Neodiprion lecontei: one gene and its partner. The protein of the gene in region 1 interacts with the protein of each later gene in a biochemical or structural test. Links are inferred from orthologs where the notes say so. Each region holds a gene or a part of one and is shown on either strand. Other genes may lie near its edges.

Region 1 (6,750 bases):
CAGAGAGAATATCATCCTCACGATGTGTCTTTTACTCTCCGACAGCTCTATGTTGTCCAACATTGCGAGGTGACAATGGTGAACGCTCAGTTTTCACGGCATGTTGCAAGCTTGGAGACCCGCGAAGGCTGCCCCATCACACCTGGTGCTTCGTTCACCAAGCAGTTTTATCTCGTTCCATTGGCCAGTAGCAACAAGGATCGTCGCGGTATTGCTCTTGACGGACATCTGAAAGTGAGGGAATTCATGATGTTTCCTGTATCGGCATATCTAAGCTTTCATTTTTTTTAGGACGATGACGTGAATTTGGCCTCCTCCACATTGGTTGCTGAGGGAAAATGCCCTGCAGAGGCAATGGGTATAGTCATTTCGTACTCCGTTCGCGTAAAGCTGAACTGCGGCACTTTGGGAGGTGAACTTGTCACAGATGTTCCGCTCAAGCTGATGCACCCTGCTCCTGGTTAGTTGAGTGGCTGAACATTTTTTTACCTGAGTACGCTTCATATCTTAATCGTCATTTCTTCTGCGACAGGTGCCCTAGAGAAGGAGAAAGCAGTTTTGAAGAAGAGCAAGAGCATCGATCGTGCACGCTATGAAAACTCTTGCTACGCCAATGACGACGACGACAACATTGTCTTTGAGGACTTTGCTCGCTTGCGTCTTAACGAGCCAGAATAAAACACCGAGGAGTATACGCTGCACATGCTATGAAAAGAATGTAAATTTATCTACTTTTGCAATGGATATGCATCGTAGACGACTTCGCACTATGAATATTCAATTGTTGAAATTAGTCGCACCAATTTTACGTTTGCAAGTGAGTCATAGAAGATCGTTAAGTCTTTATTTTAATCATGCGTCTATTCTCATTTTCGAGTTGACAGCTTGTAAGGGCAAAATATCAAATTGCCTGGCGTAACAGTGAAAGAATTTTGAAATGCAAGTATGAAAATGTAATCCTTTCAAAAGTATCAACAATCAGAAAATCTGATCAGATTTTGTTGATGTTACCACGAATATTCTGAAAGCCGATGACATTTTTGTATGATCTAATGTATAGGACGTGAAGAAAAATTATTGAGGGGGAAAAACGATGCGCGATGCCATTGCTTGTGTGATATTATGCGATGCTTGGGTTCTTTTCAAAGCAAGCAATGAAAAGTAAGTAGTTATAAACCGAATTGTAGAGTGATATATCAAGTCTCGTAAGTCAAGTTATAATGTACATAAAGTTACCTCAAATAACTTGTTTACGATAAAATTATTACCTATTGAATTATCGAAAAAACTGATAAAAAGAAAAAAAAACGAAAAATATGCAGAAAATCCTTGTTCTATCATCCCCAAATTTGGGTTCGATTGTGGTGGTCGAGCAAAAATTTTGAAATAGACGAGCAAAAAAAAAGATATCCCCAAGTAAGTTTTACTTATTATCCAGTGATAACATAAGAAGTTGGTAGGGAAAGAAAAACATTTAATATAGTATAAATAATGACATTTCCCGTTCTTACCAGAAGTGACATGTATTATTATTGATTAATTATTTTAGTTCTATTATTGTTAATAATTCAGTGTTATTTATTATCACGTATTCAATATATTTTCTTGATCAATGTATCGTTAATTCCACATGTTATTGGATTGATATTATTGTATATTAGGTTTCAAGTATGTTAATAAATTCTTAAATTTGACCAGTCTTTCATGGCAATTATAGCTCAGTATCACACGAGTCAGCTGTTAAAGGCAAATTACAAAACACGGAGCTGTGAACAATGGATTTTTATTATATTCATACTTATACAAAATATTCTCATACTTCACGTATATGTGTGTAAATTCACAGTCATCGTACAATTTAATTTAAAAATATAACTCTCGCAAGCTGTTTTCAGACTAATCGTACATGTGCGAATAATATTCTTGATACGTTTGAATGTAAGCTTCTTTCTCTGCCGGCGTCATATCGGCAATCAAAGTGTCATTGATATCTGTAATTGAAACTGTTTTTCCTCCCACACTAACCGTGGGCACCAAGTCGTCGTCCTCTGAATCCATCGTCTCTACATCACCTGAATCGTTCAAAGAAATAAGTCTCAAATAAGCATCTTAAAAAGCTGAGAAATACAATCATCTTGCAGCAATTACCCATATCGATAGCCTGTATCTCTGTAACATCCTCATTATCGCTACTGTCGCTAGATTCTTGAGGTATTACAGTCTTAATGGCATTGGCAGCATTAGTCCCTCCTTTTTTCTCGTGCGCCAGTAGCACCGACATTATGTCTTCGCCCTGTTTATTCGTTGCGTTCGTTGCATTTGTCGCGTTCGTTGCAGCCTTATCAAGAATACTGTCTTGGCCTCCAACCACGTCCGTCTGAAATAACAAAAACAACTTTCTCAAATTCAGCTTTCTCAAATTCGTTGCCAAATTCACATTCTCTACAATATCATCATTTACACACCTGCGATCCATCTGTGTTTACCACAGTGCTTTCCATCATCCAAATCGGCCTCTCTTTTCTACGATTGGCAGTGTTATCATTGGCCGATTCATCGCCGATGGTAACATCCACTCTCGTATCTTCGACAGCAAATCCAGACGACCTCGTCGCCTCTCCTGACCATTGTTCACCCGGAGCACGAAGCCCAGTTTGCTTCCTCGTATCGATGCTGTAATGTCAGTCGAATATAAAGTTGACTTGTCATTTGCAGCTGTCCAACAAGAGTGAAAATTATATTTTTATTGCTAACCCTCGTATGGTATTGATGTCAACAGGTTCAGGCTCGAGAATTTCAGGTGCCAATTTTATACCCTCGACTTCTCGCAGCAGAATGTAGAGTGGCTCTAATTGTTCGTTAAATTTTGCCAGAAGTAGCCTGGAGTCTTTTTTCGGAAGAGCAGATTGATCTTCCTCAACGATGTTCCGACAATAAGTACATCGGAACTCGTCTGTTGTCATATCAAAGAGTTGATCTGCCTGTGAATAAATATTGTTTGCCATAAAAAAAATTGAAATTGTGATTGTGTCCATCAAGACGTTTGTCTATCGCTAGATTCACCTCAAGGTCCGTGAAAGTCTTAAGACAATTTGTGCACTTGAAGCTGGCTCTGCTGGTCGCGTCTCGTTCTTCCGTTTCCATTTTCTTACGCATGTGATCCAACTTATACTTGACAACGTTGACAAAAGTCTAAAGGATTAAGATTAAAATTCAAAATTTAGCAGGCATTTTGGAGGGAAAATCTGAGACAATTTTTACCTTGTAATTGATGAAATAGTAGTTCACTTTCTGCGCCTTTCCATCAGATCCAGTTTCCATCTTAAGTCTAACTTGAATGAATTTGTCATTCCTTAGCGTAGATATTCTAGCTCTCAACATTTTTCGCTCGAATTTTAGCAGCTCGCATATGTCGTCCTCCTTCATACCTGATAGAAGGATACAAACAAAACTACAGTTGAAACTTTTTAGTTGGCTGGGATGAGCGATGCCAAATTAAATAGATTTACACTTACAGGGATTTCTGACCAGCATGTCAACGATTAAGGCATCCTCTATGGTATAAAAACCGCGAACAACAAGCCGTGCTAGTTGTTTCAAACTGCTAGGCACTTCGGTGACAAATCTTTCCTCCCCACTCATTTCTCTGCTAATAATTCGAATACAATAATTCCCACCATTTACTCGGACTGTTAGTGAGAGGGATTTTTTTAGGGCGTTGATGTGGTCTTATGCATTTCTTAGGTGTAAAAACATTCAATTCGTTATCTACTTATTCGCCATCACAACGATATTATAACCTTCAACTATCGGAAAAACCCGGTTCTTCTTATTTCGACGGCCTATTTGTAACTCCAATTAACGAATATTGCCGCATTCTTAATTAACAGTTCCAGCGGTGGTACGATCACGGATAAATAACGCGTAATTGCATAGTTTTTCGGAAATTTAACACAGGGTGCATCGATGGCTAGAGTCGTTACTTGAGGTTATGATGCCGCGTTCGGCGGGGAGGTGGAGCTTGTCAAACAAAAACTGTACCTAGATTCCGCTCCGCCGGTTGCTGTCAGGAAATTCAAGTCAGAATTCGAATGTAACTGTACAAATGGCAGCGATCGATAAGGTCAAAATAATCGTTGTCGGAGATTCTGGTATAATTATCCTCTGCTAAATTATCACTTACCCATTAACGGCATTCTTCGTTCTTCGGATCATTCGCTAAAAGAATCTGTTCACAGATCGCGATCACCACGTATACGCAATTCACTTAATTTAATATTTTCTTCGTTTGCATCGCCGCTTTACCGTTCCTCCGGCAATAAATCGTAGATTTAATTTGGTTACGAATATATTTATTCATGGGGAAATCACGAGGTTTTTAAGGTTATTTACCCATCTATGCACTGTACATGCATATTTTGATCCACTTTTGTTGTTACTTATTATATAAACAGTCTGTAAGCAAGTCTTCCTTTTATTTTTACAGGTGTTGGAAAAACCTCACTGACTCATTTAATATGCCATCAACAACCGATAGGGAATCCGTCGTGGACAGTAGGATGTTCGGTTGAAGTAAAGCTGCATGAGTACAAAGAAGGCACTCCGAATCAAAGAAGATACTTTATAGAGTTGTGGGACATCGGCGGTAGTCAGAATCACCAAAATACTAGATCTGTGTTTTACAATCCGACAAATGGTATGCAAAGTACGGTGTAAGAATCTCAGAAATATACGTGATAAACTTGTGTTCTGATTATAATAGAATTTTCTCATTTTCAGGTATTATCTTGGTTCACGATCTGACTAATAGAAAGTCGCAGCAGAATCTCCAGAAGTGGCTTCAGGAAGTTCTAAACAAGGACGGTAACCATTCCAAGTCTAAATCTTTCGACGACTTTGATCCCGAACAGTTCGTCGGTTCAACACAAGTAACTATTTTTTAATTGGCTGCTTAGCCGATGAAATGAGAATCTGTCAACTTTGAATGATGGCTTGAGAATTGCTTACAAAAAAGTATAGTTTTACAAATTTCATTCATAGATTAGTAATGTTTTGACAATTATCAAAATTAAAATCACCTCACAAGAGTCAAAACCTGAAATTTTATTTCCAGATACCAATTTTGGTAATTGCAACAAAGTTTGATCTGGCCGCAGAAGTGAGATCAAGTGTTCATCGACGTTCATCTACAATTGCTGAGGAATGTGGAGCGGACGAAATATTCTTGGTAATAAAATTAAAAGGCAAACGGTCGATGCCAAATATTGTGTATGTTTGTTTCATTGGGTTGAAATTGATTTTATTTTTTAAATTAAAGATTTCTTTGATCATTGTCAGGATTGTCATCAAGTCAGATCCTTGGCTGCAGGCTCGAGTTCTTCGGTGAAGCTGAGCCGATTTTTCGACAAAGTTATCGAAAGACGGTATTACTCAGCGAGAGAAGGAATCAGCCCAGACAAGCGAAGACTACCAGTATACTCTTCGCAGTATAGTCCAAAATTTTATCACAATGACTGAACGAAGACCCTCCACATCATATCTATTGTAATATATTTCACTTTACTCTCCCTTGTACCCTATTTTACAGAACTACAAAAAAAAATATATATATATATATTTCTGAATAAAGAATCAATACATTCAGTAGCTCACTTGAGACTCGAAGGCCGTTATCAATTCCGTATTGAGGGGTTTTAGTCTTGAAGCAAAAGAAACTGATTTTCGCAGTTACTGTGAAAAATTGTTTCTTCTTTTCCTTTCATATCGACGAAGCAGTATTTGATGAGAGACTTTTCATTCCGTACAAACGATTTCATATTACGCGGTTTTTACGGTAGCTTCGTAGCGCCATGTGGTAGTGGTACGAAAGAAGAATTCGAAAATCGTTGGTCATTACGAATCGATACTCGACAACGCTCGACATTCCTCTCAGTTCGTTTTTTTTTTTATCCATTTTATTACACCGCACGACCGCATGTAACGTGTGTGTGTGTGTGTATGTGTGTGTGGAAATTTGTAGAAGGTACATGTGATAAAGGCGATATGAGTGTTCCGAGTGTGTGTGTGTGTGTGGCTAGATTTCGTCACGGAACTTCAGTGTCAAATCAGTAGCGAGTCAAGTCGCAGCGCGGTCTTGGGATGAACGTTTAAATGTCTGTGCTAACGACCGCGAATTCGCAGAATAGGTCCCACCAAGTTTTCAGTGCAGTCACGCGTATCATGATTCGGTAACGATTGGCGATAATTCCGCTCTTACAGCGATTTCATTGATTACATAAAAGTTTGAAATATTTCCCTTTTGACGCGCGCCCTCCCTCGATATCGTAAGTATGTATGTATGTACTTCAGCACACGGTAGAACATGCGGTAATACATATGCACACAAGTAGGTATAACACTGCGGGAAAATTTTTCGCAGGGCGTGTATCTATTTATATACACACTCGTGACAAATCTTCAATAATAACTTTACGTAATTAAAGCTCTCCAGACTGTTTCTTCGATCTATTGTCTATAAAGTTTAAATATGTGAGTCGAAATAGCCACCCTTGAAAACGTTCTAGATGATGAATGATTGATGATTAAAAACCACTGAAACGATTGATTGACTTATAAATGTTTAGATATAATGATTCTCTGGTATTTTCAGATAACAACTTAGCCATGGCATGTATCACGATGATAAGACCGTCAAATTTGAAACACTTCTACCATTTACTGTCAAAAAATTCTCACCCCTTGCTGCTTAGC
Region 2 (9,129 bases), on another chromosome or scaffold:
GTTTTTATTTCGATAACTTGGTTTTTCTTCAGGATACACGCTGCTCCTCGTGTATTATTCACAAATGAGTATGGTGGAAATAAACTGATCGAACAACGTGACACCACCTGAACAACGCGGTCTGAATGTTGAACCGATACTGAGAGCACGCGATTTGACTCAGATGGCTCGGAAACGACTGATGCTGTACGGCGCACAGAAGAAACTTAAATCAGTTCTCTGAAGAACGGAGGATAATAATTCTCCCCGCCCTCTCTGTCGCTCTTCACATGGAGTGGGGATAGCTGCACGCGCCTGCCTATCTGTTTTTCTCCTCTGTAGAATTATTATCCTGTCCTTTAGAGAACCGATTCGAATCCGTTCACGGGACGCTTACACCGTTGCTTACGCTCTATTTTATACATCTCTATGGTCTCAGCGGCCGAATGAAAACACCGCCTAAGCTGCGCACAACGCGATCAAATGTGTAGAACATTGCCGTAACAATGTGCGACGTCAAACGAAGTATGAATGCTCGGACCAATTACGGATATTACTTGAAAGGGATTTTCTCAGCTTTTCAATTTCACTATGACGACGGTATGTTACCAACGTTTTGCACGCGATAGTTGTTAGTTATGAAGAATTTCTGTTACCGACGTCGTCAGCTGCCTGGTTGATGAAACGTGAAACTGCTAATACCCCCAAACCCAGCAAACTGTTACGCACAATAACCCAGCGTTATCAATCTTTATACATATGCCCTCGGTCAACGCACACACTTAAACTTTCGCCGAACCGACTTCAGCGATTCTCCGGATCTAACTGCCTTTCCTCGGAGTTCGGACTTACGCGACAGAGTACGCGAGCGGTATTCGCGCGAGCCCTGCCCTCTGGTGGTCGATCCATACAACCGCGGCACGACAATCTTTCTATCGTGACAACCACCGTTGCCCCTCAAATTCAAACCACCACACTAGCCAATATTTCATATTGTTGTTCTAAAAGGCTGCGTGAAAATTGTTGATTATTTGCTAAATTATGCAAGCCGAGATAACTGATGTAAGTGGTTTCGTTAATGCTGAAACCATCACAAGTCGTAAACTAGTATTGTAAAAAACTAACACGGATATTGATAAGATATTAGTAAAAAAACGGAGCAGACTGTCATGTCAACAATGTACAAATCGAGACAGCCCTAGACTTAGCTAAAACTGGGTCAAAAGTTAAAAATACACTGAGTTTTTGCCAAAAATAAACGTAAGGTGCACTGGAGTCGTACAGATAACAACACTGAAACTTTATTCAATGTTTGAATTCTATGTTATCGTTGATTCATATGAAAACGAATAATCGATAACGGCTAGTGCATCGGAAGTAAATGTTTGTACTTTTCAAAACCTAAATATTATTATTGTATAAGATTTATGTATATTCTATGTGAAGAATTTCTCAATTGTTCATCTTGTTATACATATTAGCACACTTTATTTTTATGTCTTTAAATAAAAATATACGTACGATGTGTTCTGTAAATTAATCTCCAAAAATTACTTACAATTTCGAATGGTACAAATGATTTTATGTGTGAGATTATTTTTTGCAAATGAATTTTATCACCATTTTCTTATTTCTCGTTTGATAAATTATTTTAACTCAATGGATTTGATCACTTTTAGCTCTTTGTATTTTACGAATCAGATAATAGTCATTCATCTGGATCTTCCATCATAACAAATCCATCTATTTCGTAACACAGGTCTGCAAAGGATTGCTCCGTCAAAAAAAAAAAAATTCCGACTTGAAGATTTTAATGTGCCGAATTTATATCTGCTTTCCATTTTCTGCTGTCACGCATATGTATATTACAGGATATGATTTTTTTATTGTTTAAAATTAAGAATTTGTTGTGTTTTGTTTTTACATTTGCACTACTTTAATCTATTTAAACAGTATTCGTAGTATTCGTACATGATACAAACCAGTTCGAACTGATGAAAGAGAAAGAAACATATCGCCTAACGCCGTTTTATTCACACCATGCATGCGTCTGCGCAGTTCTCGTTGTGCCTTCATGTCGTACAGTACGTTAAAATGTTGTCTAGTGTGAAAGAAAATGACAAAATAACTAGAATTATACTAGTAGATAGATTTTCTTTCGATTTTAATGCGTAAACATTTTAATTTTATGACATTTTTTATAAACATTGTTGCTATCATTAGTGTTTGATTATAATGTGTAAGCAAAAATAGCGTTATATTAAAAAAAAATTACATGAAAAATATACGTGGTTCATATTATTTGTTACTGTATTTCTATTCAAGAGCATCTAATCTAATAAGAAGGAGGAAAAAAAAGATTTTCTTGCAGACCAGTGATAATTACAATGAATATTATCCACTTGTAGTACTTTCGGATTCATTAAAATTCTGTTTCAGTTTCCCTTTTTCGTTTTGTCGTGCAAATTTGTATTTTTAAGAGAATCGATGTACATACCGTTGTGCGAAACTCAATCCTTATTCCGATGTATCGATGAATGGAATCGATTCTGCCAAAAGGCGATACCAGCCTGTTTATTTTGCCGCGTTTAAAGTGGTGGACTACTTCACGGTAGCTTCGTGGCTACCACAAGCCAACGTGGACAATCATGTGAAGCTTGTCGATAGTTGAAGCCTGTCAAACGTTTGTAGGTTATGTTTGTGAAATCGATGCTGTTATTGTGAAAAATTAAGTATAAATTGATCACAGATGAACTATGAATGACAACGATTCGATATACGGGACGACTCTGTCCCAGGAGTCCATGAAAGTGATCGCAGAAAGCATTGGGGTCGGAAATCTTCCTGACGAGGCTGCCAAGGATCTCGCCGAGGATGTAAGCTACAGGCTAAAGGAGATCATTCAGGCAAGTTGCGGTAGTATTCTCTGTTTTCTCCTCTCAATTTACATATATTCGACGAATTTTAAACTCTCCGAAGTCACCACTGAGCTACGTTTTGAAATATTTAATCTCGTTTGCCTACTTTTCAATTTTTATTTATCTCATTTCGCCATCTCTGGACATATTTCGTCCTTATTCATCCATGTCGATGTAAAATTTGACTGTATATGAATGTTCGCCACATTTTTCCATTCGTTTTCAGTCACACATTAGTCATATTTTACCTAATTATATTGGTATTGAAAAGGCGTTCACAGTGTAAACATTGTGGATGCACAAGCGCGGTTAGGTTACCATCATGGTGGAGGGATTCAAGAACTGCGAATGTGTACGTACACCACATACGCATACAGCCGTACAGCTCTTGTATCGCAGCAAATATTTTTATTCTTTGTAATAATTTCCCCCTTCTGTCGTCATGACCACCATACACATTTCATGCTCTGCATTCCAATCACGTTATTTTTGGGTACATTTGGCTTTTTATTTTATTATTTATGACTATTTATAATTTCAATACTGTTTCAATATTCAGCTCATTATTTAATTTCTCTAGCTGTTTTTGCCTACCAAAGGTCTTATTTCTTTACTTTTGACCATCAATTAATCTTATTTGGCTATTTCTAAACTAATTGTCATCTATTTATGGCAAACTAATGATAGCTGACTGTTTAGCTGTATTTCAACTGTTTTCAAAATTGTCCCTCATCCATGTTTAGTCACATTATAATAATGATTTGACTATTTTTTTTACTTCATTTAGTCATACGTAGCCATGCATAAGCATTATTTTTTCCCTCTTTCACAATTTGTTAGTCTGTTTAGGATGTTCTTGAATACATTTCATCATTTTCTGCTATTAATTGAGTTTCTTTGACTCCTCTTGACGTACACTAATCTTAGTCAAATTTTTTTACCTCTCATTAGTTCTTTCAAATTATTTTTGGACAGATTACGGCCTTCAACGTAAATCCTTTGCCGATAAATAGTTTTATTTCACTATTTTCAATTGTATTTTCATTAAAATTGGCCACCAGTTCTATTTTACAGGTTTTATTTAAACATGTGTTGGTTCACCATTATCCGTTTGCTCATCATGTTTGATTACTTTTTGATGCATTTCGACTGGTTTTAGTGTTGCTTTGGTCATATTTGGTCGATTTCACATTTATTTGCCATAATAAAAGAGATTTTTCTACTTCCAACAATAGACTAATTTCATCACCCACCTTCGTGTTCACTTTTCATATCATCCTTAAATTAACTTCTCAAATACCTATTCAGGATGCAGCAAAATTCATGCACCACAGTAAGCGTCAGAGGATGACTGCACACGACATCGACCATGCATTAAAGATAAAGAACATCGAGCCGACATATGGCTTCTTTGCGCGAGAAAACGTCCCCTTCAGATTCGCATCGGGAGGAGGTAGAGAATTGCACTTTGTCGAGGACAAGGAGATAGACTTGAACGAAGCAGTGTCCAACAGCCAGTCGTGGCCTAAGCTACCGCTCGAAGTAACGTTGCGAGCCCATTGGCTTTGCATTGATGGCGTCCAGCCGACGATTCCAGAAAATCCACCTCCTGTATCCAAGGGTGAATTGAAAAGCCTTATCGGTCATTCACGAATATTTCATCACTTCATGATGCTGTTCATCTGAAAAATAAATTCAAAAAATTTCCAGACGCGCAAAAGGTTGAGAGTGTTGATCCGACAAGCAAGCTCACTGCCAAGGGTCAGAGTGTCGGCATTGGTAAGCCGGGAGGAGGAGGAAAGAGTCAAAAGTTGAGAAACGTTGAGACGGTGCATGTAAAGCAGCTTGCTACCCACGAGCTCAGTGTTGAGCAGCAGCTCTACTACAAGGAGATAACCGAGGCCTGCGTTGGATCGGACGAGGCTCGTAGAGCTGAGGCCCTGCAATCTTTGTCTGCGGATCCTGGTTTGCATGAAATGCTTGCCAGAATGTGCACCTTCATCGCCGAAGGCGTCAGGGTCAATGTGGTGCAAAACAATCTCGCACTTCTCATTTACCTCATGAGAATGGTCAAAGCCCTTCTCGACAATCCCAGCCTTTATCTAGAGAAATACGTGAGTAATTTGCCACAAAAAATTTCACAACACAGCAGCAGCGGCTTTCACGATAGTTGAGAATTCAAGGAGATCATGAAAATCACGAAAATCCAGGCTAAACGAATTGTCAAAGAAATTATAGAAATAACTGCAATCTCTTCTTTCTCGATGATTTGTTCCTTGAATTATTTCAAATCTTACTGGCTTTTATTTCTCTATTTTAACATCAATAGAACTAATTTCAGCTGCACGAGCTGATACCGTCAGTAGCGACGTGCATAGTCTCTCGGCAGCTATGCATGAGACCTGAAATGGACAATCATTGGGCGCTGAGAGATTTTGCATCACGCCTGATGGCCCAGATCTGCAAGAACTTCAACACGTCGACGAACAATGTGCAGACCAGAGTTACTCGCATGTTTAGTCAGGCGCTGGCTAAGAATAGTCAGGTAAATCAATTCGGGGTAAGAAATTATCGACATCCTTACCTGCGGCTAAGAGGAAACTAACACTTCTGTTATCTTCAGACGCCCTTGGCCTCGCTCTACGGGGCGATCGAAGGACTCTCTGAGCTCGGCCCAGAGGTGGTCAAGGCGCTGATCATTCCAAAGATAAAATCCATATCTGAGAGGATCGAGAGCTGCATTGAGGGGCCCGTACTTTCCAGTATTGATAAAAACGGTGCTGGTCATATCAAGACGCTGTTAGTTGTGAGTGAACTTTTAAACTGCTCGAAACTCTCTTCGCAGTTGATTTAAGATTGTGTTGGCTTTTTTAGAAAGTTGTCGCTCCTGTGTTGAAAGGCATGCGTCCGGCTCCGGATTACGTTGAAGAGTACAAACAAGACTTTGGATACGTCGGTCCAGTGCTTTGTGCCGCTGTTGCTAAAGCTCGAATCCAACCTGCAACTCTTACCACCTCCGCAACGGCCTCCACCACTCTCACCACAAACCAGCAACAGGGACCAACCACTGTGGTGACAAAACCGCTCGTTCAATCAGGTAAAATAACATGTTTCACTATTGGGAAGCAAGGGAAATGGCGCAGGATATTATTAATGCTGTGCCAGTTATGCTGAATTTCTTAGAGATGTTTGAAAATCTTGTGGCAATTGACTGACTCTTAGTAATTCTAGGAAATCTTCATAGTTTAGGAATCTATGATTCAAAACAGAATAAATTACGCAAATCAGGGTAGTCTCTATTTGGTAGGTTGAAAACACTGAAATGGTTGGCGATTTTTGTTTTACCTCTAAAAAGAAACGAAAAGTCTGAGGATTTCGTCGAATGTGTTACGGGGTGTATGATTGTTATCACGATGAGCGGCTATCGATGACCAAATTACCAAAGTATAATTTCTCGAGATAGATTACGTTGTTCATTACTTTAACTTTTATAGACACAAAAATAATCCATAAAATTACCGTTTTGGATCTGGAGAACCTGAATAAGTAAAAAATTCCCCAATTCAAAATCAGTAGCAACCCTGTTTCGTGAATCCTATTGCCGGGAATCACCAAAATCATGTTACACCTTTCAAAAAATCCTCAGATCTTATGAGAGATCCAGAACGATCATTTGATATTGACTAAAGTACATACCTTCGGGAATGCGAATTCGTTATGCTCTTTTCTTCTGTTGTTTTGGAATCGTCCGAAACTGTGTATACTCTGAATACTTATTTGAAAATTGTTGAAATTTTTCTTGAACATCTCGGTAGACAGAAAAGGATTGGAACTTATTGAACCCGATTCGTTTCGATGATTTTCCGGTCCGAGTTTCACAAGAAAATTGATCCATGATAAGAAACTCAATGTGAATTAATCGTTCAATTTTTTTGAATATGTGTCTAGGGATTTGATATGTTTCCACTTTCTTACGTGTCAATTACAATAAAATCACTTGGAATGTTCCCGGTGAATTTTTTTGTACGAAAGGATCAAACAGGAATGGATCGAAACGAAATTAGGTATTACAGCTTGAATTGAATTGAAATTGCGTTGTAATTCAAACATAACAGAATGGCGAAGAAACGAATCCGTAGACACGCATTGAAAACGCTAGAACGATTAAATCGGATTGATGTCAGCATAATGCAGTACGTTTACTTGATAATTTGGAATTGGCAGACGCCAAAATAAATTTTTTCTAGTACAATTGAATCTTTTTTAATTTACTGGGATCCGAATATCCAATCTTCCGAAATTTATTCACTTTACATTTGAGGCTGATCTATGATTCCAGTGCCCGCGGGTAGCCCAGGTCAGCAGGCTCCTAGCAGAACGATGATACTGGGTTCCGGCAGGGGTGGAACAACGCCGACGGGCGGCTGTCAGAAGTTCGTCATACTTCAGTCGAGATCGCAGACACCGACGATGCCGAACGTCGTACAAACACCAGGCCAACAGCAGCAACAGCAGCAGGTCAAGATAACGCAAAATAGTTCTAGTCATCAACAAAAGCAACATCTCCAGGGTAGCACCCCAAAACTGGTGGTGGTTTGCATGCCTAGTAGTAACCAGAACGCCACGACCACTGTGTCTCAGGTACATGGATCAAGTCTATACACCGAATCGCTACCTCATTCTTCTTGGTTTTTTTCCGTTTTTGTGCTTTTGCATCAAGTCGCGTTCTTTTTGTATACTTAGAAACACAATTGACATCAGCTACTAGTATCATCCAGTCTGTTTAATCGCTGAAATTAATGCGCATAGGGGGTAAACTGTGAAGTACGTCGATTTTGTTATGTTCTTTACTTATGAACTCATCGTTGAAAAATTTACGATATAGTACCAAATCAGCGTGTACATGTATATGCGTAGTTTATCGACCGAAGGCACAGTGTAGTGAGTAATTGCGAAATTTCAGAGATCTATTTTATTTGTTTTTTTTTTCCTTTGCTTTATCGTGTGTTCAGATGCTTTGTTTGAAAATTCGATTTCCCGTCCCGTCGAACACGGAAAGATCGAAACGGATTAAAAACAAGTCGTTTCATAAGAATGTTTTCATTTTTTTTCACGCAACTAAATTAGAAAAAATTTATTCACCATATTTTTTTATTCTTGTTTTTTACAGGCCAGTCTTACTTCTAAACCACAGACAGTCTTTGTTACTCAACAAAGCATCGAAAGATCTCTGAGCCCCACCGACGAGCACGCTTTTCAATAGATTGAATAATATATTTATTAATAAAATTTATACGTATATGCCAATATTTTTTCTAATCCTAATTGTAACGAACAAAGCACAACGTTTTGTCTAGTTGTAACTCAAGTTAGTTTAAAACAAAATAAAAAAATTCAATACCAATATCCGTTGTTCTACTTTTCATTCGTTCGCAGTTTTCTAACCGGTAATTAATCAACCTTGGTCATTTCTAACTTCGATAAATTACAAATAAGACTTTGACCTCATTACGATTGAAAATTTCTACAGCTCACCTTGCAGGTTGAGGTTTTTTTGGTTGAACCAGCTGATCGATTCACCGGAAAAAAATAAAAATTCAACTAATACTTCGTCGGTACAGTTTAACACTAGATCCCATAAAACACACGAGGTGACTGTTTTTACCGATCTTTACAATCTTCCGTCAATGGTAATGACTGGGTGGTAGTTTCATCTTCGTTAACGGTATCGTTCGAAGTAGTTGATGCCTTTTTGTGAAATTCTGAACTCCGTAGATACGATGTTTCAGCAATTTCGGAAAGTTTTTCTGCCATTGTCTTGCCAGTTTGTTGAAGCATTTGAAAAAAGTGACCGTTACGATTTTTCAACAGCAAATAAGGATGATCAAACTCCTGCACATCGGATAAAGATGGTAGAAAAAAACAAGGATATTAGTTATTCAACAGTTTGCTTAAAATAATTATTTTGAGACTTGGTTGGACGATGTAATAGTTCACGTACCACGATGCGACCTTCCGTCATGACCAAGACTCGATCATTATCCATTATTGTGTTTAACCGGTGAGCTATCGTCAAGACAGTACAATCAGAAAATCTCCGTCTGATGGTGTCTTGGATAAGGGCATCGGTGCTGGAAGCCAGAAACATATATACCAAATTGAAATAAACAAGATAACTAATTAAAATGATGACAAATTCGACCTGATCTACACTGACCTACGGTCAATGTTC

What was found.
Region 2: the proteins of general transcription factor IIE subunit 1 (region 1) and transcription initiation factor TFIID subunit 6 form a complex in vitro, tested with the Homo sapiens proteins (2 studies listed by BioGRID). The link is inferred for Neodiprion lecontei from reciprocal best matches to the Homo sapiens genes GTF2E1 and TAF6.

Annotation. Positions count from the first base shown.
Region 1 is NC_060263.1:15,134,788-15,141,537, reverse strand, and holds general transcription factor IIE subunit 1, read right to left. Parts: upstream 4,231-6,750; 5' UTR 4,216-4,230; coding exon 4,184-4,215; intron 4,152-4,183; coding exon of another isoform or gene 4,106-4,151; exon of another isoform or gene 3,652-4,105; intron 3,650-3,651; coding exon 3,516-3,649; intron 3,429-3,515; coding exon 3,262-3,428; intron 3,193-3,261; coding exon 3,064-3,192; intron 2,982-3,063; coding exon 2,755-2,981; intron 2,674-2,754; coding exon 2,466-2,673; intron 2,378-2,465; coding exon 2,149-2,377; intron 2,073-2,148; coding exon 1,897-2,072; 3' UTR 1,523-1,896; coding exon of another isoform or gene 1,492-1,522; 3' UTR 1,053-1,491; downstream 1-1,052. Other genes in the region: arrestin homolog, read left to right, coding at 46-234, 292-460, 533-678; rab-like protein 3, read left to right, coding at 4,106-4,151, 4,487-4,696, 4,780-4,928, 5,114-5,227, 5,338-5,517; putative ATPase N2B, read left to right, coding at 1,492-1,522.
Region 2 is NC_060264.1:21,659,342-21,668,470, reverse strand, and holds transcription initiation factor TFIID subunit 6, read left to right. Parts: upstream 1-2,598; 5' UTR 2,599-2,735; coding exon 2,736-2,885; intron 2,886-4,205; coding exon 4,206-4,518; intron 4,519-4,607; coding exon 4,608-5,011; intron 5,012-5,238; coding exon 5,239-5,457; intron 5,458-5,520; coding exon 5,521-5,703; intron 5,704-5,771; coding exon 5,772-5,994; intron 5,995-7,236; coding exon 7,237-7,538; intron 7,539-8,009; exon of another isoform or gene 8,010-8,067; coding exon 8,068-8,160; 3' UTR 8,161-8,301; downstream 8,302-9,129. Other genes in the region: ATP-binding cassette sub-family C member 4-like, read right to left, coding at 8,559-8,789, 8,899-9,028, 9,115-9,129. UniProt on the Homo sapiens protein: The TFIID basal transcription factor complex plays a major role in the initiation of RNA polymerase II (Pol II)-dependent transcription.